Linked DNA regions of Schizosaccharomyces pombe. The gene in region 3 interacts genetically with the main gene of each other region. Each region holds a gene or a part of one and is shown on either strand. Other genes may lie near its edges.

Evidence for each region.
Region 1: mutations in mks1 (region 3) and get2 together harm fitness less than expected from each alone (positive genetic interaction), as found in Schizosaccharomyces pombe (one large-scale study listed by BioGRID).
Region 2: mutations in mks1 (region 3) and xap5 together harm fitness less than expected from each alone (positive genetic interaction), as found in Schizosaccharomyces pombe (one large-scale study listed by BioGRID).

What each region holds. Positions count from the first base shown.
Region 1 is NC_003421.2:186,881-191,744, reverse strand, and holds get2 (GET complex subunit Get2), read right to left. Parts: upstream 2,632-4,864; 5' UTR 2,487-2,631; coding exon 1,962-2,486; intron 1,902-1,961; coding exon 1,653-1,901; 3' UTR 1,344-1,652; downstream 1-1,343. Other genes in the region: kinetochore protein fta7, read right to left, coding at 1-219, 343-507, 566-722, 900-1,015; vacuolar H+-ATPase assembly protein Vma21, read right to left, coding at 3,153-3,277, 3,331-3,422, 3,596-3,645.
Region 2 is NC_003421.2:752,741-757,633, reverse strand, and holds xap5 (splicing factor, xap-5-like protein), read right to left. Parts: upstream 2,383-4,893; 5' UTR 2,378-2,382; coding exon 2,229-2,377; exon of another isoform or gene 2,166-2,228; coding exon 1,448-2,165; 3' UTR 1,344-1,447; downstream 1-1,343. Other genes in the region: protein Emc6, read right to left, coding at 1-128, 210-269; SPOM_SPCC1020.13C (DDHD family phospholipase), read right to left, coding at 3,003-3,499, 3,541-4,281, 4,345-4,893.
Region 3 is NC_003424.3:1,258,853-1,265,381, forward strand, and holds mks1 (protein Mks1), read right to left. Parts: upstream 4,436-6,529; 5' UTR 3,909-4,435; coding exon 3,803-3,908; exon of another isoform or gene 3,758-3,802; coding exon 2,121-3,757; 3' UTR 1,438-2,120; downstream 1-1,437. Other genes in the region: SPOM_SPAC56E4.07 (N-acetyltransferase), read left to right, coding at 513-1,220; chaperonin-containing T-complex epsilon subunit Cct5, read right to left, coding at 5,050-6,529.

The DNA.
Region 1 (4,864 bases), on a different chromosome or scaffold from region 3:
AGTAGCTTTTTGTATAGTTTGACTTAATTGAACAGTTTTATTTGCATGGATTTGCATAGTTTTCGTAAATGGCTTTAATTTTTCTTTATACATATCCAATGTAGAGGTTTTAGAAGTATTAGAATCTTCTGTATTCAGTTTCTTTTGGAACGAGAAATCGTTGGAGTCTGAAAAATTATCATGGGATATCTTTAAGCCTTTCTTCAAATAAGGGTGAAGCTAAGAAAATATTAGTGATTGCTTGATTATTTACATAACTGAAACAATGGAAAACTCATTTTGTGTCATATGTTAAGATGAAGTCTTGAATAAAACATTCGCCTGTTCGTGTTTTAAACTTACTTTAGATTTTAAATCGGCAAGCCGTGAATTATTTATGGCCATGTTTTGTTTCATTTCTTCGTAAGATTTCTGTTCATTCTCCAAACGAGCAGTTTCAACCTTCAATTCCTGTTGAAGTACGTTAATATGGTCCAAATCACTGTATAATTGCTGTTCCAATTGCATCTAAAAATGTTAGTCATATCTCTTTCGTATGTATGCGTATCAAGACTTAATAACTTACATTCGAAGAAAGTAATTGAGAGAACAGTATTGACTCTTTTCTTTTCCTTGGTACAGGCAAATTTCTCAGAGGAGCTTCGATTTTTAAAAGTATATTCATGAACCATTCCTCGGCCAAAGATTTTCTTGTTTCTGATTTTATTGTATTCAAAACCAATCTGTTACGATAGCACAGTTAGCATACGTACACATAATGACTAAAAAAATTTGGAAAAGTACTTAAAAGACTTTTCCAGGTAAACATCAACAGCAAACTTTGATTTCCCTTTCAGTACACAAGTAAGCGCTAAAAAGCACAAGCACTTTTAGCAATAACATGATTCTCAATTACTTACCTTGAACACGTCCTAAAAATAATTATTATTTCTTGGCGCTGCTTATCCTCTAATGGACGCCATCTTTTTTGAATTTGGTCTCGACGCACCGCGCGAACGCGCCTTTTCATTTCCATTGCATATATTTATAAAAATGGTGCTACCACTTCAATTTTCTTTTAAGCAATCTGGAACTTAAATAGCAAAATATGTACGTATGGTTTTATATGAAAAATTTCTCTATAACAAGAATTCGCCGTTTCAACGTTTGCATGCTGTTGTAGCGCTTCGGACGAAGTTGTTTTACATATATACAGTCAACCAAGCCAATTCTCAATTACTTATTTTATTTCAATAATAAGTTGATAAAAGATTTTAAAAATCATAGTTATAATGTTTTCACAGCTATCCCAGAAATTACTTTAAGTAGTCTGTTTTTAATTAATACTACAATTACAATAAACAGAGCTTTTTAAATCATATACTATTGCTACCATTGAATTAAAAGAGAAAATAAATAAAACGTACCGACAATCGTAAATATGGCATGTGTTGCAAAGCAGTTCAAATGAAGTGCAGTATGTTTTAGAATATAAATCGTTTAGATGTTGAAAAGATAATATAAAATTGAATTCCTAAGGGTTTGAAAAGTCTTTCTCGCTTAATCAGTTAGTTTATTTCATCTAAACAAAAATTGAATGCTAATTAATCGATCACCAATTTGCGAAGCAAAACCAAGATTCATAAATAGTAAATGCTGAAAATTAACAACTATTAATACACCAACGACGGATAAAAATAGCAACATAAACCTAACGCAAATATTGTCATACACGCATCTGTAATCAATTGTGTGAAATACGGAACATAACTTGTTGTATGACGGATCATTGCTCCATAGGGAGGGGGAAGCTGAGAGGCCAGAGATGCTAGAAGAGAATAAGAAGGTCCATTATTACGGTCCAAAACAAATTGAATAGAGAACAAGCAAGCTTCGACAGTAAATGTCCACGGAAGTAATGGCTGAAATAAATATATTAGTATGCAAAAAAACAATTTCAAAAAAGGAAGATGAGGACTTACCAAATGTTTAAAATAACAAACAATCACTACTATAGAAATTGCCAAAAGATGAGCATATTTCTCAACTAAGTTTTTTAAAGGAGCTGTAGCTTGAGGAATTTGTTCGTTTTCACCTTGAAAATTTGTATCAGATCCCTCCTTTGCGGATTGTAACATAGCTTGAAAAAAATTTGCAAAATCAGGGTTTTGATTAAACATGTTTTCAGGTGGTACATTATATGGAGAATCACACTGAAGTTTAAAAGGCGAACTTTCCAAATTATGGTAATCTTGGGAAGGAAGATATTCCACTTGATCAGCATTGAAGGTATCATCTCTCTTTTCCATGAATCCTGAAGACATTGGCGTTACTGGTGTTGCAGTTTCAGAATGTACAGCTTCCTCGGAAGCTGTAGCTCGAACATCGGATTGACTGTCATCTGAATTCTGTCCCAAAATTTGATTGATTCTAGATGCACCTCCTTGTTTGATTTTATTCAGTCGACGTTCACGTCTAAGTCGAGCTTGTTCACTGGCAGTCGACATGTTCGAAGTCTTTGAATCAGCAGAAAACAGAATAAAATAAATAATTAACACCAAACTTTTTTACAGATATATATTTTTATCAATATTATATTGGGAAAAAATCAATAATGCTCACTTGAACAACTTTCCAATATACGAGGGGTTTGGGGTGAGAGAAAATAGTGATGCATAAGTGTTAGAAGAATACTGAATTCCTACAGCTGTTATGTTTGATAAGAATCATACATGTTAGCCTTATATTATAAAAAGGAAAATTTAATTATAAAATTGGTTGAAATTGCCATATCAATTGCATTTTGCTAATTCGTGTTTTTTGGGAAACTACAAAAAACTAAAGAACAGACACATATTTTCATTACAGACTAGCGAAAAATTAAACAAAAAAATTTCCGTTCATTAATTCAGATACAAAAAGGAGTAGTATCACCAGCAACAGCTTTGTGGTAGCACCTTATTCAATAGACATACATGCAAAATCCAGTAGATTATAGGATAGTCCCAGCTAAAGTCTTTCATTTTGCGATACTTTTAACGAAAAAAAATAAAGACATCGAATGATTCACCTAAATACGTTGGCAGAAGGAAAATCCGCTTCAAAATTTGATTTAGAATTGAAATGCAAAAGTCATAACTCAAAATAGTAGTAAAATGGTTACTGAAAATTTATTATTCCCTTTTTATATCCTTCTTGGGAGTCCCGGAGTCTTCGCGAAAGGCTGCGACTATATACAAGGCCAAGATAATATTGACCATTACAGCTGCAGATAATCCTGCGTACAATGTTTGATATCCTAAAACAAAATTTATCAGTAAAAATCAAAATTATTCAACAATTAGTATATACCTTTGAATAAAGTCTTCAACGTCCAAAAATAAGTTATAAGTGGTAATGTAAATAATGCGACACTAAAACCCACAAACTTAAGCAGAACATTACTATTACGAAAGTTAGTAAGTTTTCATTTCCAACATATTTAGTTAAGAATATAAAAGGAATAAACAATATAAGAGACCTAAGATTATAGACTGTTGTGGAAGGTTGTATGGAATTTCTTAAAACCAATTCGCAGTCCGGCGTAAAGAAATAAACTAATAATTAATAAACTTACGTAGGTATAGAGTTATTATTTGTATCTGAAACTTGGGATTTCCTTTCCATTTTAAATCACGAATGCAAGTTGTTGATGGTGGTGGAGACCTAATTTATTGGGACCTTGCTTTATAAGAGGTCAAAGTTTTGTCAACATGAAAAGTAGACAATTGATATTCGTATGTTGAAAGTCCCTGAAATTATTTGTCATCTTATTAAAATTTATTATCTTTGTTTATAACATACGGTAGACTTATACGTGCGACCTGCTTAATTTGTGTTTACATATAATAAAATACCTGGGCGACAAAGTCTCCAAATTCATAGTTCCTTGTTGAAATATTAAATTAATTAAATTAAATCGAGTAACAAATGTATGTTAGGGCTTGGTCGATGATCATAAATAAAACTGCAATTTACAAACTCACATTGAATTGTTTAGCAGGCAAGGGTGTATCAAACAGTGGTGATCAAAAAAGCAATACTCAATTACTCCTCTGTTATAACAAGTGATTTCACACCATCCATCTTCACTTGATACAAGCATTGCTATGTTGACGTTTTCATCAGCGGACGAGCGGTATAAAAAAAAGAGCAAATAGATTACTCAATGGGTATATTTTATGCATTAAAATTTACCATTTTAGCTTGAAATCAAACTGTTGAAGTAGATTTTTGAGGTAATAAAAAGCATTTAATATAACGATAAGATCAAGCCTAGGTTATGTAAGCTACGCAGTTTGGTATCTGATTTAAGGATACGTAGAACTGCGGTGAGTTTTCCTTGTGGTCTATTATATTACAATACACAGGTTGTATAAGTAGCAACTGAGTATAGGTATTGTATTAACTGGGTTATAATGTTACCTATCACTAATATAGCTCATAACTGAACTGAGGAACGAGGTTCAGTTGTAACGCTATTTATAATATTTCTAAATAGTTGTTATCAACGGGTATCTATGTATATAGACGGATAGTTACCCGTGATTATCAATAAACGGATCTTAGCTAGTATTCCAACATATGACATATAGTGATACGCAACGTAGTGTAGCATAGCGTAGTGTACTATTCCTGACAGGTTAAAGTATATACGGCATTGCGATAATTACCGTTAAAATCCAGTAAATTTTTTTAATTAACTTAAGACATATCCAGATTTAAAGAGTCCATTATTTTTTTTCTGCGTACTCCCGTAAGAGTCAGGCACGCCCCAAACACGAACCAAACGTGCTACTTCTGATATTTGATATATAAATACAGAAGACTTAATGTGATTTTAAAT
Region 2 (4,893 bases), on a different chromosome or scaffold from region 3:
AAGAGTAGAAAGGAGACGAAGAAGTAACCGAGTACATACAGAGCAAGCCCTTCATATGAAGTTAAACCCAAAATACCAGCTGCGCACCCGAAAAAACTAGAAGTCAAGTTTCGAACAAAAGAAACGACCTTTGGATTCATTAGCACTCAATTATAAAATCCTTAAAAAAACTAGTACCAAGAAAATCTAGCTCTGCAATCATTTCTTACCTGTTCATTATATGCAACATTTTCTACAACAATTGGAGCGACGCCTTTATCCCTTTCCATATTAGCTTATGAACAATTCTGATGTTTAGTTGAGTTCACCGCTTGTAGAATTATAACCAAAAAATGATGGATAACGCATCTTTATACTGCGGTATTAACTACATAAGGACTTAGTAGGAACGTAATTTTTTCGCAGCTTGACGTATCCTTAAAAGCATTTTGCAAACTGCGTAATTGCCAATCTTTCATGTAAAGCTACAAGCGATATGGATATGGGAAAAAGCATTACTTTTTGCTTGGGCTGAATGTTGGCTAGTTTGGAGGGTGAAATAGTTTATTCAATACAATTGAGTACTTTATTTTTTTCCATTTGATTTTTTTGAACAGAAATGGGCTAATTACTAGGATATTGGGAAATCGCATTGTTTAAAAGAGGTTCTCGTTTTACATCAAGGTCGATTTTTCATATTTATTTGTTTTAGAAAAAAGTATCATCTTATATTTCCTGTATTACTGGTTTTCTAATTCTAAAACTTGAAAATGGTGGATGAAACGTTACATACTAGATTGTTTACAGTATACCGAAAGGATTAGAGACTCGTGAACATTCGTAAAAGCGACATGCTTATACTTCCAAGAGAACGAAAAGCGAATTTCATTTCTTATTTACAATAGAATAGTTATTCTCATCATTCAGTCACGATCACTTTTTTCTTTACCAAAAATTGTATACCTAAATAGCACAGTATAATCCACCGCAAATTAACGTATCGTTAATATGTTTATGATCAAATACTATGTATTTGCATACCAACGCTGCGATACATTAAATAAAAACAAGCAGAAATATGAGAATTCAATAATAAAGGAAACATTTAATAATTCCAAAAGCGAATTGCTAATTTTTTAATTACTTTATTTTACAATATCCTATAGCACATCAATGAAATCAAGGTTTTCAGTCAAGGTTGGAGTGATGTTGAGAGTAGTAAGTGTAAATACTAAAACCCATTGCGAATACTTAGTGGATAATATCTGTTTCTTTTTTACCAAAGTCTCTCTCTTTGTATAGCTTATCAAGTTATATGTTTGGCGCAATTCATTTGTTTAAAATACAAACATAAAAACAATATAGTTGTAATGAAATTGTTATTAAATTAGTCGATGAGGGAAGTATGAGTATGCAAAACAAAAATAAAGAACCAAGAGAAAAAAAATCGAAAACTTTTTAAAAGGCATTATGAGGGCCGGTAAAATAATGCAGCGTTAGGATCAGTTGCATGCTTTTCCAATGAATAATCTTTTCGAGAATCAAAGACTTCCCAATGCACACATGGAAACACATGGCGATTTTGTAAATAATATGATTTTTGAACTAGATGAGGAATGCATTGAGAAGGAAGTTGTGTAGTTGCAACCATTTCTGGACTAGAGCATGACAGCTTATCAAAGTCAAATAAAAGTCCATCACGTCCTTGAACTTTATTAATGTAAAAGTAGTAAAGCTCATGGTGATGGGGAATGATTAAATCAGATTGAACCAGTAAAAATTTATCCATATCCAGAATCCTCTTCAAAAATGGGATTTGCTGTTTCATATCAGCAAGAAAGTGTCCAACCGAATCTTTCAATCTAGTCCTTACATGATAAGTGGTACTTGTTCCATCGTAATAGATAAATGGTATCAAAATCTCTTTTTCCCGAATTTGCTCCTGCTCTTTTAGCCATTGTTTGCGATATTCGGCTCGCTTCGCGTTTTCACGTATTTCTCGCTCTGCATCTGGCAAAAAGGAGGTATCCGCAGATGGATCCTTTCCCATAAACATTTTTTTCTCAACTTTTTTTAAAGGTAGATCATCATTCTCCAGTTCTTCATCTTCACCAAAAGAAAGTTTTCCTTTGTTAACTTTAATGCCCTGTTTGACCTTTTTGCTTAAAGCATCTTTTCTCTTTTTTCTAAAATTGAATTGTCAGTCATATTTAGAATACTATCGGGCTTTTCTCGTTCTTTTCACTTACATTTTAGTACTTGTGGTTGATAGCGCATGTTTCTCTCGTTTTTCAACGATGTTTTGTTTTACTCTTTGATAATCCTTTAAATGGACTAAACCAGTCGTACTATTTCGTAAAATCTCATGAATTTCATCGGCATCAGTATGGCCGCTCATTGTATGAAGAATTCAAAAAAACGTGAGTGGTGAGCGTTCTTCCAAATAAGCTTGAATACCCAAAATACCCTTTTTTTGCCTCGGTTTTCAAATCTCAAAATGAAAGAAATGACTATTACTATATTTATCGTAGAAGAAGAACATGTTTTTTACATTTACCTATGAGGGATCCTAGAATAAACGCACACTTTGCCAAAGTCACGTTGCATATAAGTTTTTTATATTTGTCAAAACGGTTATTAAATAGAATAACAACGAGGTGGGGCACTTTGAAGCATTCTGTAATCTTTAACTGCTTGTATAGACACTTTTTAAAACCAATCTAGAGACAAATAAAACGAATTACTCGTTTGTATTAACAAGCTTTGGAAAAATAGCAATAGATTAAAAACAAAAAAAAAACTAGCTAATCACTAGTGTTGCTATAAATACTCTAATAAATTTTCGTATCTGGTCATTGAATGCAAAACCATCTTTCGAATGCCAATATATAAAGTCATTAAAGTGATCCTAAAAAATCATCATTATCCAATGTTCATCAAATTCATTTTAATTTGTCCACTTCGCATCGCTAATAAATATGAAGCTCGCTGGTATACTGTCAGATAAAATAAAAAGAAAATTTTCAAGAGCTGTCCCCTTTGAATATACGTGGCATATGCTTTCCACGAAATTGCTCAATTGAATTGGCAATACCAAAGTTTCGGCCAGTTTCCACTACTAAAAAGCAAGCAAGATCCTCACTACTCCAGTAACTGCTATGAGCCGAAAGCATAGAAAGATATTTGTTTGAAATGACCCCATGGGCACTCGTAAATACGTAGTCCAACTGAGAGTTTTCATTCAACTCTTGCATGCGCCACTTGGCCCTTTCTTCTCTGCGAAAATTGCGAGTCTCTAACTCGACAGTCTGTTCAGGCTCCAGTGGGACCACTGCTGTGGGCTCATTGTTTTTATTTTGCTGCAAAGATTGATTGTAACTTCGAAGTTCCACAGGATCAGTATTAGAATGTGAGATCATTCTCAAAATACTTGAAGATTTTCTTGTGAACAGTATACGAGTTGGGTGGATGCCTTTCGAAAATGAGAGATCCACTGTGGGATTTAATCGCATCGCAACGGCTAATTTGTTAGTAAATACGATAATTTAATGATGCGCTTACGATCAAGGTGATTATAGATGTTATAAAAAGAGTCGACTGCGAGACATCCGTACCGATCATAACCATCGTAAGTATATGACTTTGGAACATCAGAATTTATAAAGTTTTTATTTATTTCGTATCTTGATGAGCCTCTTCCACGACGAGGAATAATACTTTGTTGATTCAAATGCAAAAAAAAACCTACCGGACCACCAAAACAAAAAAAACCGTTTGTGTCGAATATAAAGCAGCTTTCATCATCGTCTATAGTAATTTCTTTGACAAAAGTGGGTTGAAGTGACAAAATATCAAAAACAACTGTGGAGCCCAAAGAATGCCCAATTATAAAGATACGGCCCTTGTTTTCTAAAAAGTAAGGATTGCAGTCCTTCCACAAATGGTAAACCCTATTAGCTTCACGAATTACAGACTTTATAATGGATTCTTTGTGATGAGACATATAATAGGGAATATCACTCATCACATCTCCTAATAACCTTCGCACCGCTGGAATGCTATCAATTTCAATATCCTCAATTGAAAATCGATTTTCTTCAAATTCTTCATCCTCAACCCGTCCTTCATCACCGGCAACTGGCTTTATATATGAATTAAAATTAAGCTTATTTCTCCAACATATCGGAAGAAGTTGTGGTTCATAATCGTTTCGAATCAACGGATCCTCTTTCATTATGTTTTTCTGAATTTGGATCAATGAACGAAAAACGTTGCACGTCTTGGTAAATAAGAATCGTTCCTCTATATTGTCAACATTAGTAATTGAATGCCGGTGTAAGATAAAAAAAAATCAAGTTTACTTACCAGTCTCTGATCTTTTTTGACCGATACCATGAACCACCAAAAAAAGATCTGTAACTTGTTTAGGTCCATTAAAACCATCATCTTCAAAGTAAGGAAAATCTCGAACGACCGGCATACCTTTAATACTGGTCCTTCGAGATTGAGTCCCTTTTGAAAAATAGGATAACAAACCTCCTTGACAAATGAGTGCTCTATATCCGTCTTCGTAAAATACATATTTGCCAGAGGAGGTAGGTTTAAGAGGCCATTGCATCGCATCAATTAATTCCTTAGAGGACTTGTTACGTTTATGAGACAATACAGAAGGATCATCTTGAGAATCCTTCCCTTCTTCTTCTTCTTTTAAAACATTATCCCAGTTAACGGCGTATGGCTTCACTTCCTGGTAGCCCTCTTCTAACATATCCGACAATTCATTGATTACAGGAAGACCCGTATCTTCGTACATCCAAAGACCGCGAACGACTCGTAAGGTATCATTTTTACTGGCACTTGGCCAGTATAGAGGCTTTAAAGTAAGAGTAGGTAAGTTTACCACATGAAGCCCAG
Region 3 (6,529 bases):
TACAGTTACGAATGTTGTGCGGTAAAGGGCGTCCTAGCGATGGCCTGTGATGGATAAACAAATGTAAATGTCATGTTTCCAGTATGTTTAAACTAAACAAAGTATCAGAAACTAAGTCACACGTTGATGGGAAACATTTCGTAGCTTTGTTGAGTTTAATCGTAGATTGTCGTTTACAGAGTTTTGTCTATACTAGCTTTTATCATGTAAATTGCCTGTTAACTATAACAAGACTTTCTTTTCCGACAGCAATGTGAAAAGTTGTTTGTGTAACGGATTGATTTTGGATGACCATGTAAACTGTCGATTCCGCCTGATCCTCATGCAACATGCCATTTACTCTGATTTCATAGTCACAGCTTTTTAACGCAGATTCGGTAAGCTACTCAGAGCCATATTCTCTGGAGTGAAGACGCAGTAACGCATTCTTTTAGCATTCATCTCATTTGAGTAGCGGTAACTTACTTCAATATATTCCTTTCTCACTTTACATTCGTTTATACCCTCTCAAAATGGTAAAGACCGTGAATGGGGAACCGCTGCGGCATCGACCCTTGCAATTCAATGACATCGAAAGGGTAACGGAAGTTAGTTTGTTGGCGTTTAGCGACAGTGCGACTTGGAAATGGAGGTTCAAAGGAATGTCTTCTGAAACGATGAAAGCATTAACCATGCAGCTGACTCGAGATGCGTATTTTGATCCACATGTAACTTGCATAGTCGCGTATACCGATTCCAACCCGTACGTTGGATTTTTGGCCTTTAAAAAATTCCCGCCTGACCCTAACGTCTCTTATAGAGACTGGATTTTGAAAAGCTTAAACAAGTACTACAGCAATTTTTTGTATTGGTGGTATGGTGCGCAAATTGTACAAAAACGATTCCACTATAATGAATTGCAATACGGAGCTGCTCTTTATAAAACTGGATTGCTGAAGAATCCTAAAGGATTTATCCACATCCATTTTGTTTGTGTTGATCCTGCTCTTCAAGGGAATGGTGTCGGTGGCTATCTTTTGGACATGGCTCATGACTTGGCCGATGAATATCAAATTCCATGCTTCCTTATGGCTAGTAAAATGGCCTTCAAAATGTATGAGCACTTGGGATATAAAACATCCGTTATAGCGAATTTGGTCGACGAGGATACCGGTGAACTAATTAGAGAAAGTCCCGGTATGATTCGTGAGCCCAAACAACCGTCATCTCATGAAACGTAAAAAGCGAAAATAAAGACAGAATCGCTATTCTGATCAAAATCAATACTATAAATACGATTTTCTTTGTAATTTTTTTTGGAACTCATCGCTTGATTGTATCTATTTTTCTTATTCTACAAATTTCTGAGACCTTCAATGATTCGACATTAAAATATAGACAAATATATGCTTCAGACTACAATAAAATTTTTTATTATATAAATTGTTACTGAAAAGCTGGGATCAGTTCATAAAAAATATCATTGATTGCGTAGTGTGCTTGAAAATAAAAACTTGATGACAATGTTAATAAATAAAAAGAATAAAAAAGTTCGTCAAATACAACATTGTTAAAACGAATTGAAAACGAAAAATTTTTTTTGAAAAACTTAAGATTCAAAAACTAAATTATTAAACAGGGATTAATTCTTTAGATAATGTACATTGGTATGAAAACCGGCTAAGTTAAGCTTATTAAACAACATACTTTAACATCCGATGCACAGATACTAAAAAAATAAACTTAGCAAAGATGATATGCCAACCTTAAAGATCAAATTAAGAAAAGAGTGTTATAAATAATAGCTTTGCCAAATACGTTCATCGAACAGTTCCGAACGTATAAAAGAATCACCTGTGAATTTTCATCGCTGAAGGGGGGTTTTACCCTAGATTTTCCTATCACCATCGTTGGCTGCGTAGACTTTTCAGGCTAAATAACAAGTCAATACGCGTATCACAAGTTAACGAAATCAGTCAAAGAAAAAATCGGATAATCAGAATGTAATGACTGACGTTATTAATTACAGGAATTTTTAAATATTGCAAAGCCATTTTGCACGAGTCCAATATGCTAATAACTTTTTTTTAAATTTTTTAATGAAGAAAAAACAGCTAAAATTTTTAAATTAAGTATTCTGCTCACCAAACGGAGCAATCATTAGCAAAACCTTTCTCGACAACTTTTCTGTTTCTAACTTCTTTATCATCGTTAGCCCCACTCGATTGACTTGACTGTCTTCGTAAAACTGCACTGTTCATTGCTGCTTTTTGCCGCCGTTCCCAAAGTAGGTCTCTTCTTAGACTTTCAGATATTTCAGAGGCTAATACTTTGTTCGAATTAGAAGAACAATGAGACATTCTGTATACACGATAATCATTGTAAGGATAGTTGCTCAAGTCAGAGTTGTCGGAATTAATATTTCCACTTTGGGATAAATTTGGTGTTGCCTTTATATCAGTATCTCTCGGTAAATTCAAAGCGGCTGAAGAAGCTGATCGCACGTCGTGTTGTAGCTTTTCATCTTGAGACAAAAGCAAAGAAAGTGCACTATTCCGGAATGACTTAGAAAGATAGGGCGCAGGCGACCGTTTTGTAAAATGAGGTGACTCTGCTTCATCGACAGATACCCATGCATCATCATCATCATCATCATCCTCAATAACATTTTCTTGAGATATACTTTCGGCTATCGCATGAGTAGGAAGAGGGTCATAAACTGTGCGATGCGGAAAGTCTGCAGAGTTCACAGATTCGCTATCGACAGCAGCTGAACATATAGACGACGATGCCGAATGCCCAGTATCAAAAGAACCCCTCAGGTAAAAATAAGGCTGCGTAGGATTCGGTTTTAACAATTGTTTTGATTTGTCATCTTGCACTGAATGACTTTTTTCTTCATGACTAACGTTTTTCGTGGATAGAACGGGCAACCTTGGATCAAACCCCCGAATAATACTTGTAGAATCATCAGGGGTTACAGTGACTTTTGATAATTTTTCTTTTTCGAGCTCTTTAGCCCGAGATGCAGCAGCGACTGCATCACTAAAAGACTTAGTGGGTTTTCTTGATTTATTTTTCTGAGCAGTTGAAGATGTATTTGTACTTAGGCTACCTAAATCGCTGGTAGACTTGACTAGTTGTATGGCTTTGGAAACTGCATCATTAACACTAGTAGATGATTTTTGCTGATTCAAAGGAGGTGCAGATGAATGTGTCTTAATCGACCGATCAGCATGCTCGTTTTCTGAAACGCTAACGTTCAAATAAGCTTGATCATCAGTCGAAGTATCAGATGAGTTTGAATTGGAAACCTTAGGTATAGTTTCCTTAGAAGATGGTGATTTATTTCCATGGAACAGGGCCAAATCCTTCATACTAGGTTTTTCCGGCGGTGAAAATGAAGAGATGAACTGACTAAATGCGTCTGTAGACAAAAGACGTGAGCTGGAACGTTTGGCTTGTGGCCTAACAATAGAGGAATGACTTCCACCCTTCATTGGCGCTTGCAAGCTAACTTCATTCACAATAGGAGCATTAACGGAAACATTGTCAATCCTGTTAAAGGAGTTTGAATCTACAACATGACCCGCATCCGATTCAACGGTAGAATTAATGGAATCGCAACTTGAAGAAAGATCAGGGACGGAAGATTCCTGGCAAGCAATTTGACAAGCATCATTAGCATCGGACATCATAGCTTCACGATACCACAGGCGCCAAGATATATTTTCTAAACGACGACCGTTTTCAAGGTTCTCAGCACACTTGGTAAAAACTAGAAAAAAAAGAGTTAATATAGAGCATCTGTTAACCACATTACCATTCCACATAGATCCCAGGCTATCCGCAGTTAAGGTACCCATTTTTGCGATATTTTCAGTTTCCAACGAGAGCATTGGGTTTGGGGAGACGACTCTTTTTGCCATTATGTTATGATCAACTGAATGAATGAATAAATTTGCTTTAAAAAGTGAAGGATACTTTTTTTTGAAGAAAAGCAAATGTGCTCTAAAAAAGTAGTAAAATCAATCGGTATAGTTGAGATTCTACAGCAAGCTCAACAAAAAGATGGAATGAGCTTTTATCCGATCAAACAGGACAGGAAAAAGATTTAAAACTCAGTACAGAAGGAACAACCGGTTGCTTTAAACAAAAGGAGGACAAACGAGAATTTAAAAAATGAGAATAGATCAACTAAAAAAGAAATAGTAAAGAAAGTTAAGATAATATCAATTGATAACTAAGAGGCGGGATACAAAAGAGAGATTTCAACGTATTGCAAACTTTTAATGAAGCTTCTTCCAAAAAAGGCAGTGACTTCGATAAAGCTCAAGCTCCTTTAATTTCAACTTCACGCTGAACTTAAAGGCAGTATTTGCCGTTTAATTACAGGATTTTACTGAAAATCAGCAAATCGTAGTCTTTTGATGTTCTTTTCTTTTGTGTGGAGGTTGGTTTGCTTTGCTTCTTCACCCCTCTTAAAAAGCGTCGGATTTGGTCCAAGCTACTACACTAAACCTCCTTATTTACAATGAAGGAAAGCAAAGGAACAAAGGTTGATGAATACATTAATCCAATACTAATGGATTTCTGTGCGAAAAGACTCAGTCTAGATTAGCGAGAAATGTTAGGAAAATATCCTCGCATGGCTCAATTAAGAAAACTGATATCATTTTGCCCAAACTCGGCTTTACAGGTGCTACCAGAAGCGTTTTTGCGGAAAAAGTAGCCGACGATTTCCGTCTTGAGCGCTGATGTATTTGGTCTATTTGTACAGCTTTATGGAACAAATCATAAACAGAGTTTAGTATAAAAATAATGCCATAAACAAGGTTAGAGTGTCTGAAGGCTTTGAAAAGCTCACAATCTCTGAGTAGGTAAAAATACTATTGAAACTGGAAATACGGACTCAATATGATGCTTAGTAGAAAAAATTTATATATATGCAAGAAATTTTTTATTTTGACATAAGTACACAGAATCACCATTTTATTCAAAAAAGCACATGCTTGCCGTATGAAATGAAGTAAATTAAATTTCCTTTAGCCGTGCGGATGAAAATGCCATTTAGTTATAGTCATCATCCTTAGAACCGGCAACGATAATATCGTTAACTTTGAGTACCATTCTGCAAAGCTGAGTAGCAAGAAGCAGTTGTTGTTTCTTTCCAATAAGAGGATCAATAACAAACTGCTTTCTCATATCATTACTTCCGGTCTGCAAACAGTCAATACCAAGATATGCCTTGTTTTCTTTTACATGACGAGCTTTAACTGCTGTAAGAGCTTCGATGGACGAAAGGCCACTGTTCTCCGCGAGGGCAAGAGGAATCGTGTCCAAAGCATCTGCAAATGCACCCATGGAATATTGATCAATACCAGGAATCTTTTCAGCTTCTTTGGTGACAGCCAAAGAGCAAGAAATCTCAGCAGCACCACCACCATACACTACTCTGTTGTCACGTATCAGATTACGAACGACACAGAGTGCATCATGCAAAGCACGTTTCGCCTCATCGACAATCATCTTATTGCTTCCTCGTACAAAAACGGTTACGGCTCGAGAGTTGGCACACTTTTCTATAACTAAAATCTTATCACGAGTCGTACCAAACGACACCTCTCTCACTATACCGGCTGAACCAAGCTTATCAGACGAAAGATCCTCAAATCGGGGCACAATTCGTCCATTTGTAGCAATAGCAATCAATTCGATTTCGGGACCTCCCACCCAACGTACAGCCGGTAAATTATTTTGAAGAAGTAGATGGTTTGCTTCATCATCAAAACCCCATTGACATATAACAAGGTTAGCTCCTGCGTCCTTTACATGCTTAATCATTTCCTGAAATTTTTCCTTCTCATAAGCTTGAAGGGCTTCAAATTCACTCACTGATGTTATGTCCAACTTATGCTTAGTTTTTGGCTTTGGTGGTTCAAAAGGGCAGGTTAAAATAGCAATCTTTGCATTTTCAATACGATGAGGCATTTGTGGATGCGACATGTCTTTGTCCACCACAACACCCTTTACAAGCTTTGTATCATCCACTGAACCACCAACCTTGCCATCTACTTTAATGAGTTCAAAATCAACATCTTTTCTCTGCAAATCAGCAACAGAAAGGACCGCGTCCACAGCAATGTTTGCAAAGTGATCATGAGCTTTGGAAACCACTTTACTACCCAAACTAGTCTTAGCAGAACGAAATAAATTAGTAGTGTTTTCGGGACTAAAGTCGACAACATCTGAAATAGCATCTAAATGTTTAACAGCCACCTGGCATGCCTTTTCGTAACCATCTGCAATCCTTATAGGATGTATACCTTTGTCTATAAGTGCCTCGGCCTGCTCCAGTAATGCACCTGCTAGTACAACAACACCAGTAGTTCCATCCCCAATTTCATCATCTTGAGATTTAGACAACTGAACTAACAGCTTTGCAATTTGATGTTCAACCTCCATTTGGTCGAGGATTGTAGCACCGTCATTGGTAACCGTAATCTCTCCATCTGGAGAGATTAAAATTTTATCCAGTCCACGGGGACCC